Linked DNA regions of Tribolium castaneum. The protein of the gene in region 2 purifies or fractionates together with the protein of the main gene of each other region. This does not show direct contact. Links are inferred from orthologs where the notes say so. Each region holds a gene or a part of one and is shown on either strand. Other genes may lie near its edges. The genes, in order: row and woc.

Evidence for each region.
Region 1: the proteins of woc (region 2) and row purify together in Drosophila melanogaster (affinity purification with western blotting; 3 studies listed by BioGRID, with this or other methods). This does not show direct contact. The link is inferred for Tribolium castaneum from reciprocal best matches to the Drosophila melanogaster genes woc and row.

Annotation. Positions count from the first base shown.
Region 1 is NC_087398.1:5,518,398-5,522,324, forward strand, and holds the end of row (uncharacterized protein row), read right to left. Parts: coding exon 3,880-3,927; intron 3,832-3,879; coding exon 2,183-3,831; intron 2,134-2,182; coding exon 1,973-2,133; intron 1,924-1,972; coding exon 740-1,923; 3' UTR 520-739; downstream 1-519. Other genes in the region: aromatic-L-amino-acid decarboxylase, read left to right, coding at 1-262.
Region 2 is NC_087403.1:1,790,971-1,794,897, reverse strand, and holds the start of woc (zinc finger MYM-type protein 3), read right to left. Parts: upstream 2,657-3,927; 5' UTR 2,161-2,656; coding exon 2,149-2,160; intron 2,099-2,148; coding exon 1,468-2,098; intron 1,417-1,467; coding exon 1,193-1,416; intron 1,147-1,192; coding exon 952-1,146; intron 908-951; coding exon 640-907; intron 591-639; coding exon 1-590.

The DNA.
Region 1 (3,927 bases), on a different chromosome or scaffold from region 2:
AAAATTTTTCCAATGTTTGGTTGAAAGTGATCAGAGGTTTGAGGTGTGTACGGCCAGTATGGGGTTGGTTTGTTTTAGATTAAAGGGTGAGGATGGACGGACGAAAGAATTGTTAGATAGGCTGGCGAAACGGAAGAATATTTTCGTGATGCCGTATTATTATCAAAGTCGATTGGTTATTAGGTTTGTAATTTGTAGTAGATTTACGGAAGAAAAAGATGTGGTGTTCGCGTGGAGGGAGATAAAGAGTCAAGTAGAATAATAATTTACGTTAAGAGCGAGTTTTTTTTAACTATCGAATGACGTAAAACGCAGGTAACATTACGAGTATGGTTATGGTTTATTTTATCCTATCGAATATAAATAAAACAGATTATGCTATTTTTGTAGGTGTTTTAAAATCGCTTTTTTTTTCGTGAATAGCAGGTCGAAATTGAAAATTGTCTCCGAATTACGTGATAGTTTTGGGTCAGTTGTATTTATTAGTGTGATTGTTGTATTAAAAATAAAAAATAAATATTAAACTCAAGGAGGATTTTTTTATTTAAAAGTATTACAAATATAATATTCAATAGAACCTTACAGAACAGACGTGATAAGCATATAAAAAATCTGCTTTTGTAAAAGAAAAACGAGTTTGAAAGAAACGCAAACACTAATTAACTATGTTCGCAACAATTACTTTTTACAGTCTTGAACAATAACATCTTATTTACAAACGTAATATACTCTCTAGGTTTTAGTCTGTATCCATAGGACAGATATCATCAATAGTTTCAGAGTTTTTTTCCATTTGATTTCCTATTGCCACCGTTTCGACTGTTTCGCTGGCATTACAACTGTCAACTTCCATACTTTCACTTTCAACTGTCTCAGACTGTAATTCATTTACGTCTTTTGTATTTTCACTAACAGATTCGTTGTCTCGTGCTTCTGCACTGTGTTCTTTTATTTCCTCTTCTTCCACACACTTTACTTCATCATTTTCCGATTTATTATCAACAATTCCACTGTCATCTTCAGCTTCTTTTTGTTGAACGTCTTCTTGTTCCTTAATTCCACTCGTCGTTTCTTCAACTTCCTCATTTCTATGATCTTCTTGACCCTTATCAACAATGTCATTTGTTTTTTCTTCTTCCTCGTGAGGGTCTTCTTGTACTTTATCAATAACTTCACTTGTTTCTTCTTCAACATTTTTCTCTTCTTGGTCTTCTGGTGCCTTAACGATTTCACTTGTTTCTTTTTCAATATTTTTCTCTTGTTGATCTTCTTGTTCCTTATCAACCACTTCACTTGTTTCTTCTGCAATCTCTTTTTCTTGTTGGTCTTCTTGTCCCTTATCAACCACTTCACTTGTTTCTTCTTCAATCTCTTTCCCTTGATCTTCTTCTTGTCCCTTACCACCGACTTCACTTGCTTCTTCTTCAATCTCTTTCTCAGGATGGTCTTCTTGTTCCTTATCAACGACTTCACTTGTTTCTTCTTCAGTACCTTTCTCTTGATGGTCTTCCTGTCCAACTTGACTCTTATCCTCTTGGACTTCCTTTTGTTTCTCCGAGACATCCTTATTTTCACTTTCTTTAATTTCTTCAATTTCAGTCATACCATGTTTCTCTCCTTCAATTTTAACCCCTCCCCTGACCTCACTAATACTCAAGGGCTCTTCGTCATCTTTTACTTCAATGACTTCTTTTGGTGGTACCGGATGTTTCCTAGGCCTGCCGCGTTTCAAAATAATCGGTTCAGATCTTGTCGGTATAAGTCGGGGCAGATCATCTTTACTCGACGTCGCCTCTTCTGGTTTCCGCACCAAACCCAAAACATCAAGCATACTATGAGTGACGGTGGCCTCTTTCGCAGCCTCCTGAGATGGATACGCCGATTTGCGCTCGCAAATTGCCAAATGTTTAGCCAACATGTTACCTACGACAGACAAATTAACGGTTTTACCAACTAGACAAAAATTAATTACCATCGGTATCGCTGTAGCCACAAATACAAAACATCTCATAGGGGAGCTTCTCGGCCGGTAGTTTCGAATTGAGGAATTTACATTTAGCCACGTGGTTTTGCATGGCTGTGGTGCAACATGTCGAAAACTGGCAGTTTGGATTCTGACAACTATCAAATGACCTACAATTGAAAAATTAGACAATTTCGTAAAACAAAAGAAAAAACTTACGCGAAGTGTTTCGGTGAACTTAACGATTGTCCGCACTCTTTACAATTAAGATTCTTGTTAACGTTGAAATAAAGGGTCGAGAAATTGATCACTTTGGCATCATCTGGCCACTTGTCCATCTTGGATTTGGGCACCATGACGCCGTTTCTCGGTGCAAACGCTGGTACCAGTCCTGGTTTGCCTCTCTGCGAAGCGTGCATTTTGATCTGATGGTCTTTAAGAAACTCTTTTTGGATGAACCAAAGCGTGCACTTTCCGCACCGTTTCGCCAGCTGTTTTTTCTGATGTTTTTGTAAATGTTGGATGAAGTAGTTCATATTTTGCGATATGTTCCTCCCTCCCGAGTAAATCGTCGTCGATTTAAGACAGAACGGACACTGAATCGTCGTTCCGCGGTCGTGCTGTTGGTAGAAGTGATCCACGGCTTGCTTATGATTAGAACACCGGAACCCGCAAGTACCGCACAAATAGGGTAGTTCCGACGGGTTGTGTTCCCTTGACAAGTGTTTTCCTAGTATGAACGGATTCCGAAAGTGGGATTCGCAAATCAAACACACGAATCCGTTGTCAAACTTGGTTTCGTCAGGATGCGCGGTGTTAATATGCTTGAGCAGATCATTGGCTGATGGTACTATCGTCAGACAGTACTTGCACAATTGGACGTCATTCGACACGTTATGCGCATGTTTGAATAAGTGGTTCATGAGGGAGATGTTCGTATTAAACGTCAATTTACAGAAGGGGCACTTAATATTAATCATGGTATTATTCTTGGAGGGCGTAGTCGGAGAAATGGTACCGTAGTAGTAATTTTCAAGAGGTACCATCTGCTCAGGTACATCCGGCGAATGAGATTTACTAGGCCTTACTACCTCCTGTACCGGAGGTGGTGCAGGTGCAGAGGGTTGCGGTTTGCGCAAGCGGCTGTAGCGCTTTGGAGCGGGTTCCACCGGTTTCGAAGGAGTGGAAGTGGTGTAGGTCGTAATCGACCAGTTTTTGAATGGGTTTGCGCTGACTTTGTTCAACCGGTTAATGAGGGACGAACCCGAGTCGAACCGAGTCTGTTCCGAGATATGTTTGACCATATTGTCGAAACATTGCAAAACGGTGGTACCGTACCACTCCCTCCAGACCAATTCGTCGAGGAATTGCTGGATTATGGGTCGGGAAAGAAGAGATAACGTATTTTGGAACATTCGGGGGACGATGCGTCGCAGGTACTCCATTATAGTACGGTTGCTGTTCGCATAATCGTTGGATGTGTTTTGTTGGACGTGGAGGAAACCCAGTTGATGCAGTGTGTTTTTGTCAACTGTCAGATCTGTTACAATGATACTTTGCGGGTGCACCCAGTTGAACACCGGCTCAAGGATTTTTGAGAACCGTTTCTTGTAATTACGCTCAAGTTCGCTTAGCGGTTCCACCGCTCGCAGTCGTATATGTCTGGTGGTGGTTTCCAGAATTCCCAATACTTCCACTTTGACCTCTCGCTTGTTACCATCTTGGGACGTTGTCCCGAGACTTATCACCCCGATTTGAACTTTAACCCCCGGCCCACCCAATTGTTTAATATGGGAATATATTGCAACTGTACATACGGAGCGCAGCCAAGTGTACATACCTTTAACGTAGAGATTATCAACTTTGACCTGAAAACTACCAGTAGAAAAGTACACCAAACGACCCACTACACTTACCCATTGAGTAACGTTTTGCACAATCGTCTGGCAACACCAATGGTACAA
Region 2 (3,927 bases):
TTTGCACCACGCACAGGGGACTATTTTCCGATGTGCTATTATGTAAATATTCTGACAGCTATTCGAGCAAAAACTATACTGAACATTATCATAAAACATGGTATTTTTTTCTAGAATTTCATTAGGGAAGTATCTGCGGCACATGGAACATTTCCCCGGCGCGATATTGTTAACGAAACTGAAAGCGACAAAACACCTATCGCTACAAAAATAATTCGGCGCTCCATCAGTCTCATATTCAATCGTGATCGGATTGTCAGTTTTGCAGACCGAACACTTGGTGCCCTCGTCGACTGTGGGTGGCCTATTATTGGTCATAATGTCGTACTTTTCCATACATTTTTGCGAACAGAAATCTTTAAACTGGCCTTTGTCGCCCACGGGGGCTAGAAAGCCGTCCGTTTCCGTCGACATGTCTTGCTGGCAGTAGGAGCAGACCTTCAGGCCCTTTTTATACTCCTCAAGGCAGTGACTTGAGCAAAACTGCCTAATGTCATTGCCGAAACGAACGCAATATTTCCCGAGAGAATTCGGCCGAACTTCGGCGTTACAACTCGCGCAACTCGACCCGATTTCCTTTTGGTACTTAGCTGCGGAAAAACACCGTCAACACAAAACACAACGCTGGCACAGACATACATAGACAAAACTCGTTACAAAAATCCATGATTTCCCAAGTCAAATTGTTCTCCTCATCGTCGGTTTTCTTTTTACAAACGACGCACTTGCGCTCAAAGGACAACTTAGGAGGCTCTCGATTAGTCGCCAAGTCTTTCACGCGGATCTCGCCCTCCCATGTCAACACGTAATTATTCGCGTTGTCTACTTTGAAATTGTCTAAGCAAGTGTCGTGGCAAATATACTGGACGTCGTCGTCTTTAGTAACGGTGTATTTGACTTTGCGTTTCTACAAAACTGGTTTACCGCCTGACATTATTATTTTTCACTTACCAAAACACATTGAAGACAAGTCTGGAGCTCCTCATTGCTGCACTTTGATATTTTAAACTTATTGGTGGAGGAAGACGCGTCGGTGGATGCTGCCGGCGGCTCAGGAGTGGCGCCATCCTCGGGAACTTCGTTAGAAGAGCTCGCTTCTGATATGTCTCTTAAGGGCGGGATCGAGAAAGCTGCTTCTTTCTCCTCCTGTTTTGCCCAAATGAGACAATTTTTGACACGGGGTAGTATTTACCTGTGATATGACTCGTTCAGTGTCGGGGATTATGCACAGCTCCTCATCGGCCCCTTCCTGATTTTCTGGAATGAAGCCATCGGACGCGATGGGGTCTTCCTCCAGCAACTCATCCTTGTTGTTTGTCTCTTTATCGTTGTCTTCTTTATCAATGTTGACGAATAAGGGGTTGTCTCTCTGCTCGTCGTCTTCATTTTCGGTGTTTCCTTCCGCGTTTTCATTGTCTGAAATGAGTTCAATGTGATAACATAACTACGATTTGGGTGATACCGTGCCTTTGTCTTCAGTGTTGCTTTTGTCAAGGACTGGCTGCTCATCCAGTCCCACATACTCGTATTCTTCGCGCGGCTCCTCATTTTCTACAGTTTTGTCAGCCTCGTCTTCACTTTGCTTGTCTTGAGATTCCTCGTGAACTGTGTCGTCTTTGGGCTCCTCTTCTTCAAACGTCTTCTCGCTCTCTTCACTCGTATTGGCGTCTTTATTCTCTTCTTCAATAACAGTGCTTTCGTCTGGGTTATCGATATCCATTTTTTCGTTAATTTTTTCAATTTCTTTGATCACGTCCGCTGTCATTTCTCCGATTTTATTCGCTTCGTCTTCCAACTTATCACAGCTATCTAAATTATCCGATTCAATGACTTCAGGTATAGTATTATCTTCAGGAGTTTGACAACTGAGCGGAGCTGACGTTGAGTCCAATTTGTCATTATTATCGTCTTTCTCAACCGGAGTTTGATCAGAAGTGTCCATAAGGGTGTCAAAGAGTTCTGGGTTTGTAGGTGCATCGTCTGGGGTTTCTTTGGAGTTATCATCACTTGGATTAGTCTGAGTGGAATCAACAATTTCCGGGTCAGCTGGCGGCTCTGCCTCCTCGCTACATTTCGGGACAATCTCCTCAAAAATGTCCTACAACCAAGAGATTAGCCACAGAGTTAGCCACCCCCTCGTGCACTTACACTGACGTTCATGATTAAAAACGACTTAAAAACCAAAGGGGAAGAAACTTAAACTAACACGGTTGTTTACTATTTAAACAATCCGCAAATAATTAAATACACCACACTTCTACACTAGCTTTAACAAACGCCGGCGTCCTCAAAATTAATCACATTTACAGCCAAATTATACCCAACAACTTAATTAATAGTTAAAACGATCCAGACTTTAGTATATTACATTTTTAAAGAAATTTACATCGATTTGCTGGAATTAAAAATCAAACTAACATTTTTTCACGAAAGTATTAACAATAATGGTGGCAGCTCGAGAAATAACAACATTGCTGCCAACCGACACGCGCCAGATACATAAGAAGCAAATCTCGGGGGTTTCCCTCCCGTGGCGGGCAAACTAAAATTCTAGCACAGAAATGCGAAAACAGCCAGTTCCTAGCTGTTTTTACTAAAATAAGTCGAGGAACAACGCAAATTCGGTTTTAGCCAAGCGGTGTAAAGGGCGACCGTGGCGCCGCCCTTGCGGCAATTGTCACCTGGTGGAGTAATTTGCCGATTTTTACATTATTATAACGTTTGGTCACAGTCAAGCACAAAAATAAGCAATGGTTTAGTTTTCGGCTCTTTGGACAACATTTAATAAGTTATAATCTCAGTTTAGGGTGTGTATTGCTAGTTGCCTATAGCACGTTACGTAAGAGTTATATTGGCTTACAGATAAACCATGGATAAAAACTGCAACAGTTTGACTGGTAGTTTGGAGGATATTTAAGAGATGTCACTGGTGTGGACTATGGGGCTCTGGGTCTATATTATATTTATGATCTTTTCTTATAGATAAAGGGCAATTCGTATGTTTTGTGATGTCTAGTCGTCTATAGGAGCGACAATGGTCATTTAACCTCGATTAAGAGCCATGCCGTGGTATATAATGGTGTGGGTTAGAGCAGCGCGGCTAGAAGTAGAATGAGCGCGCGTTGACCGGTCAGCGGTCGAGGGAGGTGTGAGGGATTCTCTAATTCAAGGCCAGTTAGTAATTGTCCGACTTCAATCGAAAAGCCGCCTCTTTGATCTCACCGCCTCGGCACGAACTATACAGCGCGGATATCAACTATTAAAATAGTGGTCCTTCGAGAAAAATTCGACTCTCGAGGAGGTTTCGTCATTTCTGATGCTTAAATAGACCGATCTCGGCGCCCGAAATAGCGTTTTAATTAAAAAGTTTGATGCGTTCTGTCATAAATGTCACAATAGAGGCGCTTGATTTTTGTTTATCTTTTCTATTTTTGTGCGGTGTAATAACGCACAATTTGGAAAAAAGACTAAATTAGAACTCTCAACGCGGCTGTGTTCTAGCCTTTAGGCTACGAACAATAGTTATTGTGGTTGTGGTTGCCAGTTATGGTGATCTTCATTTGCACCGTAACTTTAACGAGGCGGCGCTGGACCAATCACAAGGCCGGGTTATTGATAACCGTGACGTCACCTGTCAAAGTTTATCCCGATATATATAGTTGGAAGCCTTGGCCTAACTTAGTGATAATGAATGGAGACTATCCACTTACATAATTAAAACCATTCATGAATTAAAATCGAGTAATCCAATTAAGACGACCTTCTTATCGGGGAAAAATGTTATCGGGCCGAGTGGCGTCAAAATAATACGAGGGCTATTAAAAAATAGCTCGAAAAATTTGTGGTACACTTGACATGCGGCAGCCATGTTGAATCGTTTTACCGCCACAGCTGGCGGTCAGAGTGCTGAAGCAACGTTCCAGCGGC